Elephas maximus indicus: one gene and its partner. The protein of the gene in region 2 purifies or fractionates together with the protein of the main gene of each other region. This does not show direct contact. Links are inferred from orthologs where the notes say so. Each region holds a gene or a part of one and is shown on either strand. Other genes may lie near its edges.

Evidence for each region.
Region 1: the proteins of WRAP73 (region 2) and SSX2IP purify together in Homo sapiens (co-immunoprecipitation; 4 studies listed by BioGRID and IntAct, counting the BioPlex papers as one, with this or other methods). This does not show direct contact. The link is inferred for Elephas maximus indicus from reciprocal best matches to the Homo sapiens genes WRAP73 and SSX2IP.

What each region holds. Positions count from the first base shown.
Region 1 is NC_064821.1:134,037,481-134,045,830, forward strand, and holds the start of SSX2IP (afadin- and alpha-actinin-binding protein), read right to left. Parts: upstream 3,565-8,350; 5' UTR 3,415-3,564; exon of another isoform or gene 3,189-3,414; intron 1-3,188. UniProt on the Homo sapiens protein: Belongs to an adhesion system, which plays a role in the organization of homotypic, interneuronal and heterotypic cell-cell adherens junctions (AJs).
Region 2 is NC_064821.1:42,308,902-42,317,651, forward strand, and holds the start of WRAP73 (WD repeat-containing protein WRAP73), read right to left. Parts: upstream 3,978-8,750; 5' UTR 3,734-3,977; coding exon 3,665-3,733; intron 1-3,664.

The DNA of each region.
Region 1 (8,350 bases), about 92 Mb from region 2:
CTGTGTAGGGCTGCTGTCTCTCAGATATTACTTGGATTCTCTACATTCGGGGCTCTTTTGGATCACTCAATTACTAATTTTGATGGAAATATTCACCTAAAGTAAAACTAGAAAAACTATCAACAAACCCATTGCCACCCAGCTGGCTCCAACTCATGACAATCCTCTAAGTGTCAGAGGAGAACTGTGCTCCATAGGGTTTTCAATAGCTATGAACTTTTGGAAGTAGACTGCCAGGCCTTTCCTACAGGGTGCCTCTGGGTGGATTCATCTTGCCAACCTTTCAGTTGGTAACCGAGTGCAAATCATTTGCACTACCCAGAGACTCCTACCTAAAATAAAAATCAATTATTATTCCCCCGAATAAAACCTTTCCACGGTTCCCTATCACTTCCCAGTCAAAGTTCACAGTCCTGTTCTCCAACCTTATCACTAGCCCATCGAACTCTGCTCCAACTCTACCACCAAACCACCTGTAATGCTCCAACTGTAAATGCTCTAAGAACTCCCCCTCCTCCCTGTCAAGACATGGATGCCATATGGGAAGGCTTTAGAAAAAGAAAGAGAATTTGAACTATTTTTCATGTTTGCTCTCTCCCTTATTATGCTGTAAATTTCCTAAATTTACAAGATAACATTCATCTTTTTATCCTCAGATCTAGCAAGCAGCAGCTTAATTACATGTTCAGCAAATGTTCACTGAGAATAACTCAGTAAAGTGTAATTTAATAAATCTGGTATTATATAAAATAGTAATACTGGCCCACTATCAAAATAAAATTTTAGATTGTTTTCCATTAGCTGTAATGAATGGTTCACTTCTCTAAATTCTATCTTATTCCATAAGTTCCTGAATTCAAGGTAACTTGCACCTTCATTACCAGCAAATCATGATCTCCAAAGCCACAGAACATATTCAAAGAGTATAAAAAACTTTTTGTGCCACGAGCAAACAATCTAACCAATATTTTGGAAACCCTACTGGCACAGTGGAAACCCTGGTGGTGTAGTGGTTAAGAACTACGGCTGCTAACCAAAAGGTCGGCAGTTCGAATCCACAAGGCGCTCCGTGGAAACTCTATGGAGCAGTTCTGCTCTGTCCTATGGGCTCGCTACGAGTTGTAATCGACTCGACCGCAACGGGTTTATAGGCAAATTTACAACTATTGTGAAAGATACAGAAAAAAATCACAAAAAGCTTTGGAACTGCTCCACTTTAAGTATGTGAAATGAATTCCAACCACGCTATTCTGGGACAATGTCTTTTTCATCCTTTTACCCCTAGATGCATACTACATAGAAGGTACTCAACTCTCTACTTTTATAAAACCCATGTCATACTAGTTTTGGCCAAAGAGCAGGCTCTGTCAGGTTTTAGGAAGGCGCAGTATATAATCCTGACTTTGTGCTGGCCTTGAGGCCTTTGGCAAATCACCTGAACAGTTAACATTCTATTTTTCTAATATACACCCTCAGCATGTTTGGAACATAACGTGCTTTAACAAGTCTTGTCACAAGGTGCAACCGTGTTACAAAGAGATCTTCATAGTTCGTCCCGGAATATCTAAGTCTCTGCAGTTACCTTCAAGCAGCTTTACTCATGTTACTTAATCCCAGGTTTTATTATCTTCATTGTACAGATGGGGAAAGAAAAGGGAAGGAAGGGTATAAAATGACTTGGCTCAAGATGCCCAGCAAGTCACTGAAGAGCCTTCATTTTAACTACCAGTTTCTAACTTTCTTCTCAAAGAACTATTTTGTTTGAGAAACTTATAGACAACAGGAAGAAGAGTGTCAAATTAGTTACCAGCTTTTCTTATTTTAGTTTGAATGAATAACCTAAGCTTCCTAGGATGTACATTATGTCTGCTCTAGCACAAGAGATTTGATGGACTGTTTTGTTGGCTGAATCCAAGTTCATAAATCTACCTCTTAACTTCTTCTGCAGCCCTGGTGGCACAGTGGTTAAAGCACTCCACTGCTAACCAAAAGGTCAGTGGTTTCAATCCACCAGCTGCTCCATGGTAGAAAGATGCGGCAGTCTGCTTCTCCAAAGATTTACAGCCTTGGAAACCCTATGGGGCAGCTCTACTCCGTCCTATAGGGTAGCTGTGAGTTGGAATCCACTGACAGCAGCGGGTTTGATGGGTTTGGGTTGGCCTAAGCTAACTCTATAGGGTCACTATGAGTCAGAACTGACTCAACGGCAGCCGGATTGGTTTTTGGTTTTGGTAAGCAAACTCTAAAGGCATTTGTTTTTTTTCTCTCCAGATCTCTAATTCTTCTCAAATTTTATTCAGTTTCCTAAATGTGTCAAGTCATACCTTCCTTTCCAGATCGGAATCAAATTATAAAGCTGCCAAAATTTTCTTCTATCTATCTCAACAGTATACCAATCCCTCTTGAACCATGAAGGGCTCCACTGCATGCATCATTCACGGCCAACTCCAGGCCTAGACCCTAATCGAAATTGTTTGGGAAGCCCCCACCCTTGCACTTCTAAACCACCCTTTGAGGAACGATTCTTCTCATCCTGAACCCGTTATGGGGTCCAAAAAAGGGAAACCTCAATTTTCCCAGATTTAACAAGAACTGTATTATCACTCTTAGAAATTACACCTTAGCATTCACAATCCTTAAAACGTAGTAATCTAAAGATGCCCTTATTACACACACTGAGACAAAATCATGTAGCAGATTCCATTTCTTGGGCCCAAGTGACTTGCATAACCGAGCGATAAGCTAGGCTCAAAAAGGTGCAGAGAGCTTACAATCCGGTTTACTGTACTTTACTACAAAATTCTACATCAAAATGTTTTCCCCCATGCCTGCAGACAGATGATGTAAGTTCTTCCCCCAGACTTTTAAGTAGACCATTATCAGGGTTCGGGGTTCTCTTCCCCTGCAATAGCCACGGACCATCCAGTAACTCACTTTAACGACTGCCTACTGCGGCTCCCATTAACAAATCCCTAGCCCCGCATTGCCCACAGCCTCTAGTAAGCAGGCACTGTAGCCCCAAATCAACCATCCCCTCCTCCCCCCACGTCTCCGCGCCGTTCGTCATCCCACTCCAGGCGCCACCCTTTTTCCATCTCGGAGAGGGTTTTGGACTCCCTGGCCGCGCCCCGGGCCGGAGCCCTCCTGAGAGCGCAGCGCTGCGATCACCAGCGGGAGCCGCTACCTACCTCCCACCTCCTCCGCCAGGCGCGGCTGGGCAACGCTCACTCGCACCCTCCAACGGCACCAACGGCCGCACGGAGCCTCTCGCGGAGCCGCGGGGCGCCGAGCCAGGTGCCGGCTCTCACCTCCGCGCCGCACCCGCCCGCCCCCCGCCCCGCCGGCGCCGCCCGCCCCTTTTCGGGCCGGCGCGTCACAATCCCCGCCGCGGAGCAGAGGCCATAGGCTGCTCACCGTCACGGCCCCCGGGAGCGGCGGGGAGTCGCCGCTCGGCGTCCTAGGCCGGCTCCCACAGCCCCGAGGGCCAGAACAGCCGCCTCGGGACGCACCGCCTTGGGCTGGCGCCCCTCCTCCGCCTCGGGCTCCCGCCTTCCCCGCCCCTGGGCCGCTCCGCTCCGCCCCTCGCGGCCGCCTCCCGGCCTCGGCAGGTTTGCAAGGTTCCCACCCCGCCCCCTTGCCGCCGTCGCCGCAGGCCGAGCTGCCTCCCATTGGCTCCGCCAGTTGCTAGGCGATGAACAACCGCGGCTTGCATTGGTCCGGTGGGGGCCTCCGGAGTCTCCTCCCCACCTCCAAAAAAACCCAGAGAAAAAGAAAACCTTATCCCTAGAGCCGGCGCAGGATGCGGGCGCAGCTGCGGCTGCGGCACCTGTTACGCCCTGGGATTCACCCGGCCGTCCCTGTTCCCCGCCCCCAGCTCGGGGCCAGGGGCTCTGTGGGGGAAGAGGCCGTGGCTGCTTGAAAGCACGCTTTCGGAGCCCGAGTGAACCCCAGCACCCATCCTAGAAGCAAAAATGCAAGCTTCCAGAAGCGCCACGTGAGTTTGCAAAAGTGAAAAACTAAACCAAACAACAGCCGGCACCCAAAATTAGGTCCGGCCCAAGGGAAGGAAGGTTTAAGCGTCGGGAATCATGGATGCAAACAACCTAAAAGCGAGAAAGTTATGTGTAAAATTAGGCCCAAGAAATTGACCAAAGCGGAAGACAGCGCGCAAAGAGAAGAATGTAAGAAATGGCACTCTTGAACTAGAAGTTTATGCAAAACGTCCCACCCACTCAGCAAAATATGTGCAAAGAAAATATATGACTGCTGCGCTCGTTGGCAGAGTCGAGTCGGCCCCTCCTCCGTTCCATAAAAAAAAACCAAACCCACTGCCGTCGAGTCGATGGAGCCTAAAATTCTCCAGGGAAGGAAAAAGGCAGGAGAAAGAAGAGATCACATGGGGAAATCGCAGGCATAAGAGGTTGAGTAAAAAATACAAAGATACACTTCTATGGATTTTTTTTTTTTTTAGTGAAACCAAAAGGTTTTTATCTAGAGGGGAAAAAATAGGTTTTGTATTTTAAGGAGGCTCTTGAGAGCACTTTGAAACCAAAATAGTATAAGACAAGAACAAGAAACACGAAAGAACTGAGGCTAGAAGAGGGTATCTGCATATCCCTAATCCTGGAGGAAAGGGCAAGGCAAGAGACGAGCACACCTCGGTGACAACTTCAAGGCCCAAAGAAATCCTCTTTGCCTTTGACCTAAGCGATCAGGCAGCTAGGGTAGATGATGTTGAGCGTTGTGAATGATAGCAGATTAGCCGGTGGAGAGTTCATTACTCTTAAGGACGGTTTACACAGAGCTTGTGGGGAGGGCGAGCGGAGAGAAAATTATTACCTTGCTCCTTAACCTAGAGCACTGATGGGAGGGAGGGGTTACCTCTGCTCCCAAGAAGAGTTTTGCAATTTCAACTGTCCACCCCAGAAGAACCCACCCCTTTCCCATCTTTGAAATAGCACTTAAGGTTTCATTTTGACCATTTCACCTCCCAGGGGCTTCAGTCAAGATCTCCCTAGCTAGAAGAATTGAGATCTATTAATTCAATAAGCAGCATCTGACACACACACCTGCTTTGTGACTTACCCACTAACAGAGTCAGATTTTAAGAAGGTTTGGGGCAGTTCAGGTGAACCCCAGAAAGATTAGCTTCCTCCCAGCCCTAGGGATGAAGATCTGTCTGAATAAACCAGGGGTTCTCAAACTTTTGGTTTCAGTATCCCTTAAAATTATTGAGGACCTCCGAAGAACTTTTGCTTATGTGGGATATAGCTACTGAAATTACAACTGAGAAATTTTACAATATTTAAAATAACGAGAGTAACAAACTTACTAACAAATAGCAAATTTTATTAAAAATAACTTTTCCAAAAAAATTAGTAATGAGAGTAGTATTTAAATATTTGCAAATATCTTTAATGCCTGGCTAAATAGAACGCATCTGGATTCTCATCTGCTCCCACATGCACTCCATGGCATTATTTCAGGTAGCCTCTGGAAAACTCTGCTGTACACTCCGGAGAGAATGAGAATAAGAACGGCAAATAATGTCTTAGTGTATTCATAAATACTCAGCTGCCAACCAAAAGGTTAATGGTTTGAGTCCACCCAGGGGCACCTGGGAAGAAAGGCCTCGTGATCTACTTCCAAAAAATGAGCCATTGAAAACCTTCTGGAGCACAGGTCTAGTCCAACACACAGGAAGTTGCCGTGAGTCGGAATCGACTCCATGGCAACTTTTTTTTTTTTTGGTATTGTAAGAAAACTAGTTTTGACCTCACAGACTCCCTGAAAATGTTTTGGGGACCCCCCATGGTTCCTTAAACCACGCTTTGAGAACCACTAATCTAAACCTGTCTTGATACTTTGTCTCTCTCTATTTGAAAAAAAATTTTTTTTGGTTTAGGTTTAGGAGCTGAGCATGTGACTCAGTTGTGGTCAGTACATAATGGGGAGTGAGAAGTGAGGGTGGGGAGATTCAGGAAAAGGGTATTATCCCTGAGAGCCATAAAGTGAAGTCTTTCACTTAGTTCTTGGCCTTGCCTAGTCTCCATTGAGCAGGAGGTTTGGAGCTATGAAGGCATCCTGCAAGGATGAGAGGAAAACAGGAAAAACAAAAGGCAACCAAGACCCCAGACATCACTGGATGGCTGAATAAAGTACCCTTGTCTGCATACCTCCAGACTGCTCATTATGTGAGAGAGTAAATGATCTATTGCTTAAGCCGCTTTGGGTCATACAGTTACTTGCAGCCACGAAGATCCTGACTGATAGAGTGGATTTTATTATAATACCAAAGGATAAGAAATAATTTTGCTGTGGCCTGAAAATAGTCAAAAGACGCTTTGGACTAAAAGAAACTCGACTTGATAGAACTTTGCTGTGGTAAGGAAAGATAAAGGGGCAAGATACAATCTAGAAACAAATGCCTTCTTTTGCTGCTTTCCTCACTTTTAGCAAAAGTAGGAAGGTGTGGCTATGAAGTGTTGTTTTTTTCAAAACACATGAAAACTTCCAGCCTTGCTCCTCTAAAGTCTATTCTCATCATATCACAGTGTGCAACGTAACTCTTAGTTATGTAGCGTGCCTGTAACAAATACCATAAATAGGTGGCTTTAACAAACAGAAATTTAGTTTCTCACAATTTAGGAGGCTAGAAGTCTGAATTCAGAATGCCAGCTCTAGGGGAAGCCTTTGTGTCTCTCTGGGCTCTGGAGGAAGGTCTTTGTCTCTTTGAACTTCTGCTCCTGGGTGATCTACGTGTGGCTTGACATCCCTTTTTCCCCCATCTCTCTTTCCTTGATCTTAATCCTTTTATGTTTTTAAGAGATTGGCACAAAACATACCCTACACTAATCCTGCCTCATTAACGTAACAAAGACAACCAGTTCTCAAATGGGATTATAACCACTGGTATAGAGGTGTTTTTTGTTTTTTTTTTATAGAGGTTAGGATTTACCACACGTATTTTTGAGGGGACACAATTTAATCCATAACAGTAATTTTATATTATTTTTATTTTTTTTTATTGTACTTTAAATGAAGTTTTACAGGACAAACTAGCTTCTCATTAAACAATTAGTACACATATGTGACATTGGTTAGCAACCTCACAGCATCTCAACACTCTCCCCTTCTCGAACTTGGGTCCCTTATTAGCTTTCCTGTCCCCTCCTGCCTCCTAGTCCTTGCCCCTGGGCTGTTATGTCCCTTTAGACTCATTTTGTTTTATGGGCCTGTCTAATCTTTGGCTGAAGGGTGAACATCAGGAGTGACTTCAGTGCTGAGCTAAAAGAGTGTCCGGGGGCCATGCTCTCAGGGTTTCTTCAGTCTCATACCAGTAAGTCTGATCTTTTTGTGTGTGTGTGTGAGTTAGAATTTTGTTCTACATTTTTCTGCAGCTCTCCCCAGGATCCTCTATTGTGATCCCTGTCAGAGCAGTCAATGGTGGTAGCCAGGCACCACCTAGTTGTGCTGGACTCAGTCTGATGGAGCCTGTGGTACTTGTGGTCCATCAATCATTTGGACTAATCTTTCCCTTATGTCTTTGGTTTTCTTCATTCTCCTCTGCTCTGGACAGGCTGGGACCCGTGGAGTATTTTAGATGGCTGCTCACAAGCTTTAAGACCCCAGACGCTACTCTCTAAAGTGGAATGTAAGAACATTTTCTTTACAAACTATGCTATGCCACTTTAGCTAGATGTTCCTCGAGACCATGGTCCCCACAGCCCTCAGCCCAGTAATCTGATCACTCAGGGAGTTTGAATGTATCTATGGAGCTTCCTGGAAACCCTGGTGGTGTAGTGGTTAAGAGCTATGGCTGCTAACCAAAAGGTCGGCAGTTGGAATCCACCAGGCGCTCCTTGGAAACCCTGTGGGGCAGTTCTACTCTGTCTTATAGGGTTGCTATGAGTCAGAATCGATGGCAATGGTTTTTTGTTTTTTTTTTTTAATGGAGCTTCCATGACCTTGCCTTGGACAGGTTGTGTTGGCTTCCCCAGTATTGTGTACTGTCTTGTCCTTCACCAGAGTTACCAGTTATCTATTGTCTATTTAGTGTTTTTCCATCCCCATCCCCTCCCTTGTACCCATCAAAGATTTGTTTCTTTCTGTGTGTAAGCCTTTTCATGAGTTTTTATAATAGTGGTTATAATAGTGGTCTTATACAGTATTTGTCCTTTTGTGACCAACTTATTTCACTTAACATAATGCCCTCCCAGTTCATCCATGTTGTGAGATGCTTCGCAGCAGATTCATCATTGTTCTTTATCATTGCATAGTATTCCATTACATAACAGTAATTTTAAAACAAATCAGATCATATCACTTCTCTGCTTTGGCTTCCCTCACT
Region 2 (8,750 bases):
TTTGCTTTTCAATACTTTAAAGAGGTCTTTTACAGCAGATTTGCCCAATGCAATGCATCTTTTGATATCTTGACTGCTGCTTCCATAAGTGTTGATCGTGGATCCAAGTAAAATGAAATCCTTGTCAACTTCAGTCTTTTCTTCATTTACCAAGATGTTACATATTGGTTTACTTGTGATGCTTTTTGTTTTCTTTATGTTGAGGTATAATTCATACTGAAGGCTGTGGTCTTTGATCTTCATCGTAAGTGCTTCAAGTCCTCTTCACTTTCAGCAAGCCCGGTTGTGTCATCTGTATAATGCAGGTTGTTAAGTCTTCCTCCAAACCTGATGCCCCGTTCTTCTTCATACAGTCCAGCTTCTGAGATTATTTGCATAGGACACAGACTCAATTGGAAACCCTGGTGGCATAGTGGTTAAGAGCTATGTCTGCTAACCAGAGGCTGGCAGTTCAAATCCACCAGATGCTCCTTGGAAACTCTATGGAGCAGTTCTATTCTGACCTGTAGGGTCACTACGAGTCGGAATCGACTCGACGGCAACAGTTTTTTTTTTTTTTAACAAGCTCAATAAGTATGGTGAAAGGATACAACCCTGATACATACCTTTCCTGACTTTAATCCACCCAGCATCCCCTTGTTCTGCTCGAACAACTGCCTCTTGATCTATGTATAGGTTCCTCACAAGCAAAGTCAAGTGTGCTGCAATTCCCATTCTTCCCAATGTTATCCATAATTTGCTATGATCCACATAGTCAAATGCCTTTGCATGGACAATAAAACACAGGTAAACACCTTTCTGGTATTCTCTGCTTTTAGCCAGGATCCATCTGACATCAGCGATGATGTCAGTAAAATTTTGCTGAAGATCATTCAAAAGCAGTTGCAGCAGTACATCAACAGGGAACTGCCAGAAATTCAAGTCAGATTCAGAAGAGGACGTGGAATGAGGAATATCATTGCTGATGTCAGATGGATCCTGGCTGAAAGCAGAGAACAACCAGAAAGATGTTTACCCATGTTTTATTAACTATGCAAAGTCATTCGACTGTATGGACCATAACGAATTATGGATCACACTAGAAAGAACAGGAATTCCAGAACACTTAATGGTGCTCATGAGGAACCCACACATAGATCAAGACGCAGTCATTCAAATAGAAGAAGGAGGTACCATGTGGATTAAAGATTTCAGCAAAACCTTGCTTGCTGACATACAAGGGGACTTCAAGCACTTGACTACAGCCTCCAGTATGGATTACACCTCAACATAAAGGAAACAAAAATCCTCACAACTGGACCAATAAGCAACATCATGACAAAGGGAGAAAAAACTGAAGTTGTCAAGGGCTTCATTTACTTGGCTCCTCAATCAATAACCACGGAAGCAGCAGTCGAGAAATCAAACGATGCATCATATTGGGTAAATCTGCTGCAAGAGACCTCTTTAAAGTGTTAAAAAATAAAGCTATCACCTTGAAGACTAAGGTATGCCTTACCCAAGCCATGGTGTTTTCAATCGTCTCATATATATGCAAAAGCTGGGCAGTGAATAAGGAAGAAAGAAGAATTGATGCCTTTGAATTATGGTGTTGACGAAGATTATTAAATATACCATGGACTGCCAAAAGAATGAACAAATCTGTCTTGGAGGAAGTACAATGTGAATGCTCCTTAGAAGTAAGGATGGCGAGACCTCGTCTCACATACTTTGGACATGTTATCAGGAAGGATCAGTCCCTGGAGAAGGACGTCATGCTTGGTAAAGTAGAGGGTGAGCAAAAAAGAGGAAGACCCTCAACAAGATGGATTGACATGGTGGCTGCAATGACGGGCTCAAGCATAACAACGATTGTGAGGATGGCGCAGGATCAGGCAGTGTTTCATTCTGTTGTGCACAGGGCTGCTACGAGTCAGAACCAACTTGACAGCACCCAACAACAATGCTTTATCTCGTATTTAGGCCAGAGCTTTCAAGAACATGATTCTAGTATCAGATTATTATCCAGTTTTTGATCAGGGTGTAAAAGCGAAAAAAGTGCCAAATTTAAGCACGCAAGCATCACCTGTCACTTTATAATTTATTGGAATTTCCATAAATGGTATTTAAAAAGAAACGAATTTATAGGTGGGCACTTTGAAAAATATATCAAGGTTTCTGTGGTGTCCTTTAAGCCAATTACGTTTTTTATTTTGTAGCTGAATGCCATTTTATATAATTTACAATACCTCTACAATGAAGGTAAATACGCAACTTGAGAGTTACATTCTCAAAGACCTAGACCAGAGCAATAGGAACGTTAATCAAGGCTCAAACGTAGAGTCGTGAACCACTGTCTATTAATAGAGAATGGTGTAAATGAAGCTAAATAAATGGTCTAAAAGGCATTTTTTTTCTTAATGGCTTTTCAATGACAATTACACCGCCCTCCCATGACCCTGAAGATACACAGCAGTCAAAATGGCACATTTTGCAACGTTAAGTTTCATGTTCAGAAAAGCTTGATGATTTAAGCACCCACAGAATGAACATCTCTGACAACTATTTTCATCTAGGGATAGAAGGCTTTTGTTATTGTCCTTACTTGCCATCTAGTGGATTTCTGACTCGCAGCGACCCCGTGTCACAGTGTAGAAGTGCTCCATAAGGTTTCCTAGGATGCAATCTTTTTTTTTTTTTTTTAGCCAGGTCTTTCTCCTGCAGAACCACTGTACGTGTTTGAACCAGATCTTCGAACCTGTTCTCCCCAGTTCAGTCATGGCCAACCACGGAAGGGAAACCCAAAAGGACCTGGATTTTTTAAATGTGGGTGAAGCAGAACGGGAAAGGTTATGGGTGAAGCCCTGCTAGAAACTTCAATCTCTCTCTTAGAAAACAAGGGCAACCTAGCATTGCATAGCAACCAAACCTGCATAGCCCTGCAGAGTCCAAGAAACAGCAGATGGCAGGCTGCTGCAAGACGGCAGCGAGGTGCCACTCTGAAGGTGGGTCCAACTCCACAATTCTACCAATCATCCAATCTCACACACCAGTCTCCTGAAAGGGGTCACTTCGCCTCTTCTGAGTCCCATTCCAGGGCCTCGACCTGTAATTTCTTCTGTTCTATCCTTTTTTTTTTTTTTTTTTTTTTTAATCCTAGGGTTCCGCTTCACCTCAATTTTAATAATTTAATAATAATTTAAATAACTCGGGCAGAACTAGTTCAAAGCCCTAGTTCCGACTGCCAATCTATTAGCAGCTCCGCGCTTAAGCAGAGCTTCTAGGATAGAATGGTAATAGTTTAAATTATTGGAAAAGACAACAGAAAGTAGCCGCACCACTTACCAGCTTACAAGCCAACGCAGTTAGTATGCATTTGCCTTTCTCTGACAAACTAGCAACGTGCTACTGCCCTACACGCTACACTGGCCGCCAGCCCCCAGCAAAGTCCCCCCGAGGCAGGCACCGCTTCTCCCCGCCTTTCACGAAGCAGGTGGGGGGCGCCGGGCTCGATCCGCATTCAGAGCCCAGAGTCTACCTCCACCCCGGCCAACGGCGCCGCCCCAGCAAGTCACAACAGTTGAGAGTGGCGCCCGCCATCGCGCCCCACCTCCCCCTCACCCCTTAGCGCCCATTTTGGCGTTGCCCTGGACGGACCTCCCGGGCAAGGGGCCCTGGCTCTCACCAGGTACTTTCCGTCCGGGGAGAACTTGCTGAGCAGGCCGGACAGCTTAAAGACCTCGGAAAAGTTCATGGCAGCCGCCGCCCCGAGGGCCCAAGGGCCGGGGTCCCGCCTCAGCAGCCCCCGGCGACGAGGCCGCCTCTGCTGGAGAGAGGCCGGCGGACCGAGGCCGTGCCCAGGCTGGACCCGCACCCGCAAGCCAGGAAGCCCGCCGGCCCGCCCAGGTCCGGGTCTGACTCTCAGGGTCAGCCTCCGCCAGGCCGCCCACCGTAGCCGCTGCGGTTCCCAACCGCGGCCCGCCGGACTCCACAGCCGGAAACCCGGGGAAGGCGGGAAGCGAGCACAGCCTATCAGGGCCCCGGATGGCCGCACGGCATTGTGGGACTTATAGTTCACTGCAGCTCCGCGCGCTGCGCCTTAAAGGAGCCAGTCCACACTTCTCCCCGCCCGGAATTTCCGAGCCCTACCATCGACTCGACGGCAATCGACTCGACAGCAATGGGTTGATTGGTTTGGGTTTACCCCAAAGGAGGACACCTTGGTGGCCTAGTGGTTACGTGCTACAGCTGCTAACCAAGAGGTCAGCAGTTCGAATCCACTGGGCACTCCTTGGAAACTGTATGGCGCGGTTCTACTCTGTCCTATAGGGTTGCTGTGAGTCGGCATTGACTGCACGGCAACAGGGTTGGTTTGGTTTGCTTACCCCAAGGGATGGTGGTCTCAGGGCGTCCTCTACAGCTGGGAATGGCAGATAAAATGCAGGACTCCCAGTTAGACTGAATTTCAAGTAAACAAAGAATAATTTTATAGTATAAGTATGTTCCAAAATATTGCATGGGAGAATTACTCATTTATCTGAAATTCATATTTAACTGGCTGTCCTGCATATACATGTGCATATAAGTATACCCAAGCTCCTTGCCATCAAGTGAGTGTTGTGTTTGAACCCGTTGTTGCAGCCACTGCCACAATCCATCCTGTTGAGGGTCTTCCTCCTTTTTTGCTGACCCTCTACTTCACCAAGCATGGTAATATATTTATTACGTTGCAGCAGTTCACTGACAGGGAACTACCAGAAATTCAAGCTGGATTCAGAAGAAGACTAGGAATATCATTGCTGATGTCAGATGGATATTGGCTGAAAGCAGAGAACCAGAAAGATGTTTACCTGTGTTTTATTGACTATGCAGAGGCAGTTGTCTGTGTGGATCATAATAAATTATGGATAACATTGTGAAGAAGGCGAATTCCAGACACTTCATTGTGTTCACAAGGAACTTGTGTACATAGACCAAAAGGCAGTTGTTGGAACAGAACAAAGAGATACTGAATGCTTTAAAATTAGGGAAGGTGTCAGTGATGTATCATTTCATCATATTTATTTAATCTGTATGCTGAGCAAATAATCCAAGAAACTGGACTATATGAGAAGAACACAGCATCAAGATTGGAGGAAAACTCATTAACAACCTGTTCTATGCAGATGATACAACCCTGCTTGCTGAAAACAAAGAAGACTTGAAGCACTTACTGATGAAGACCAAAGACTAAAGCCTTCAGCATGGGTTACACCTCAACATAAAGAAAACAAAAATCCTCAGAACTGGACCAATAAGCAACATCATGATAAACAGAGAAAAGACTGAAGTTGTTAAGGATTTCATTTTTCTTGGGTCTGCAATCAAGGCCCATGGAAGCAGCAGTCAAGAAATCAAAGGAAACATTGCACTGCACAAGTCAGGTGCAAAAGATCTCTTTAAAACGTTAGAAAAAACAAAGATGTCACTTTAAGAACTAATGCGCGCCTGACCCAAGCCACAGTATTTTCAATTGCTTCCTATGCATGTAAAAACTGGACAATGAATAAGGAAGATGGAAGAATTTATGCATTCGAAATGATGGTGTTGGGGAAGAATATTGAATATACTATGGACTGCCAGAAAAACGAACAATCTATCTTGGAAGAAGTACAGCCAATGCTCCTTAGAAGTGAGGATGGCTAGACTTGTCTCACATACTTTGCACATGTTATCAGGAGAGACCGGTCCCTGGAGAGAGACTTTATGCGTGGTAGAGGGTCAGCGAAAAAGAGGAAGGCCCTGAAGAAGATGGATTGACAGGGTGGCTGCAACGATTTCCAGGATGGGGCTGGACGGGGCAGGGTTTCAGTTCTGTTGTATACATAGGGCAGATATGAGTCGGAACCAACTGGGCGGCACCTAACAACGTTTATTATGTATGTAATATATAATAAATAGGTGCTATTTATTTTTGACTGAATCTAGCCAAAACCGTATCTTCAGGGTCACCCTCATCTCACACTCTGCTCCTATTCGGATCTCGAAGGGAACAAATTCCACCCTGACACCGCAGAGCGCGCCTGCGGATCGCGCGCAGCCCTCTCTCTACGCGGGTGGGAAATGAACACTTGGTCCAGAGCCTGGCTTCACCAGCTTTGCCCTCGCTCCCCGGGGCTGCTTTGTCCTCTGGCCCACTCGGAAACTCCGACCCTCTTTCACCAAGAGGGCACTCCTCGGAGCAGCCATCCTCCCCCACACCCTCACCCACGCGGGAGGTTAGTCTCTGGGCTCCCACGGCGCCTCCGCGGCCCACCAGGTCGCGCGGACCCTAACACCCATCACTCGACCCTGAGTCGGGGAGAACCGAGATCTGGATGTAGTCCACATCAGGCCTAGCCGCAGGCTTGCCCCTCCCCCTTGGACAGCCCGCAACCATCGCCTAACGAACGGATGGGGGGATTAGATGCGTGGGTCTTGTTCGGCGTTGCTGGCCTTTTCTGTCCCCAACCAGATCCAAATCCCGGTGCGCGATCCGTCTTTGTGGCCCACCCCCTGCGCCTAGCAAACTGTAAAGCAGGTACACGATAAAGGTGTGCGGAAGCTGCCCAAATCGGCGTGACAGGCAGGTGAGGTGCGGCGTCCGGAGCGTCGGGAGAACCAGGTCTGCACCAGCCGGGATCGCGCGAGACGTCACGGGAGGTATTGACACAACCTTTCAGGGCGCGGCGGTCACCTCAGGCTGGGGCATAGGCTCGGAGCCCGCTAACAGGGCCCAAAAGTTCCAGAGGGCAGCGCACCGCAGGATTTCCGCCGCCGAGAGCTGATCAGAACTGGTCCTGCGTGTTTGGGTGCCTCCCCAGGCCAGGCTTATCAAGACGGGGGCCTTGGTAGCTCCCACCTGCCCTGGGGCGCTGCCCCGCTAGCTGAGCCGCAAGTGTAGGCGGCCGTAGGGGCTCCCCGGCCTCACGTAAGGTGGGTCCGTTCCGAGTGCACGGGGACATGGGGCCGTGGTCACCCGCGCCCAGCCGCACAAACCCAGAGCAGAATCCAGCCTCCCAAGCCTGGAAGCGGTGGCCTGGGGAGGGAGCAAGGTGCGGGAGGCTACTCTCTGGTGGCTCAACCTAGCCCGGGAAGAGCGCGCGGGCTGGGGCTGGGAGAGCCGCGACCGAGAGCCCCCAGGATCCGCAATGCCCGGCAGGGCCAGGGAACGGAGTGACCTCGGCGCGCTGTAGTGGGTGGTGGCAGTCTTTAGCCAACAAGGGCCGCTAGTGCCCCCAGACACAAGCTTCTCCTTTGCCTCCCATCTGGCCCCGGGACCCAGCCTCGCACCCCGGGCCGGGCGGAGCCGCGTGCGTGCCCGGTGCGGACTCCGGCAGAGGTGCCACTATCCTGCGCTGGGGGCGAAGGACGACACTCCTCCCCCCACTTCCCTTCCAGACTCCCTGCGCGCCGCGGGGCCGGGAGCCTGGGGCGGGAGTAAGACCGTCGGGACGGTGCGGGAGGCTCGGGCGTCGGCGCAAGTGGTGGCCAGGAAGGATTATTGGGGCGTCAGGGCGCGGAGCCGGCGTCTATGCCCCACCACGGCACCCGCGCGCGCCCAGGCCAGCCTAAGGGAGGCCCCGACCTAGGTCCAACTTGCGCAGACGACCCCGCTGAGTCTCGGCTGGGCGGTGCGCGCCAGACACGGGCGGGAAGGAGGCGCCCCTGAGGCCGGATCCCGCTCTGCAAAGGCCAGCTGCGAGGGCGGAGCGCGAGGAGACAGCCTCGGCCGGGGACCCGCCGCCGCCCTGTCCCGCCTCCCGCGCGGCCGAGCCCGCGCCGCCTTCCCGCCCGCAGGCTCGAACAGCGCTAAGGCCGTGCCGCCCCGCCCGCGCCCCCTCGCCGCGCCGATATAACCCGCGCGCCCGCCATTCTGCCTCCCGTCCGCCAGCGCGTGCCCGCCGCTCGCTCCCGAGCTTCCCGCCCGCCGGCCGGCGTTAAGGCGGGAGCTGAAGCCCGGCCAGCGCCAGGCCACTCGGCGCCAAGGCCCGGGCTCCGACCGCACCAGGTAGGCAGCGCGGGGCCGCGAGCCGGGATACGGGAGTGCTCCACCTGCCCCGCGGGAATGCAGGGTGGCCGCTGGGGCTGAGGCTTCTCAGCCGTGGATGGGGCACCGGGAGACCGGACGCGAGCTGGGGAGTGGATGACACGGGGCCCTCCAGAGTCTGACCGGCCCCAGCTACCGGGAGCCGGGCCCGGGAGCGGGCCTGAGTCGAGCCCGCGAGGTGATAGATGCAGGTCTGCCGTCAGCGCCGGTAGCAGCCCTTAGGGCAGGAGCAGCCCTCCTGTCAGCCTTTTCTGCTCCAGCCTCCGAGGGACGGTTCGGGATGCAATACCCGGCAGAGGCCAAGTCAGGGGGTGCCGGTGGGATTGGAAGTTCGGAACCGAGCGTGTCACCAACAAACTCCTCGCGGCCCGGCGCCCACTCCCTGAGCCCCACGAGGGCTGTGCCAATCTGGAGCCGTGCGCTTCCCCCCCACCCACCCCCCCGCGGGAAGCCAAGTGGGACCTAGGTCCTCCTCTGGAGGTAGAGAGCGGACAGGGGCTTTGACCTCTAGGCTGGACCCGTGGAGCGATGGAGCCATTTGCTATGGAAGTTGCTACAGTTTCCAAAGGCATCGCCCCCGCGACGCTGGGTTTGGCAGGGGTTGCCCGGCCTGGTCTAGAGTCTGGTCTCCAGAGCCTGTTAATGGAGATGGAGGCCAGGTGGAGGAAGGAGGGGACAGATTTAGCCTCCTGGCCAGCCTGGA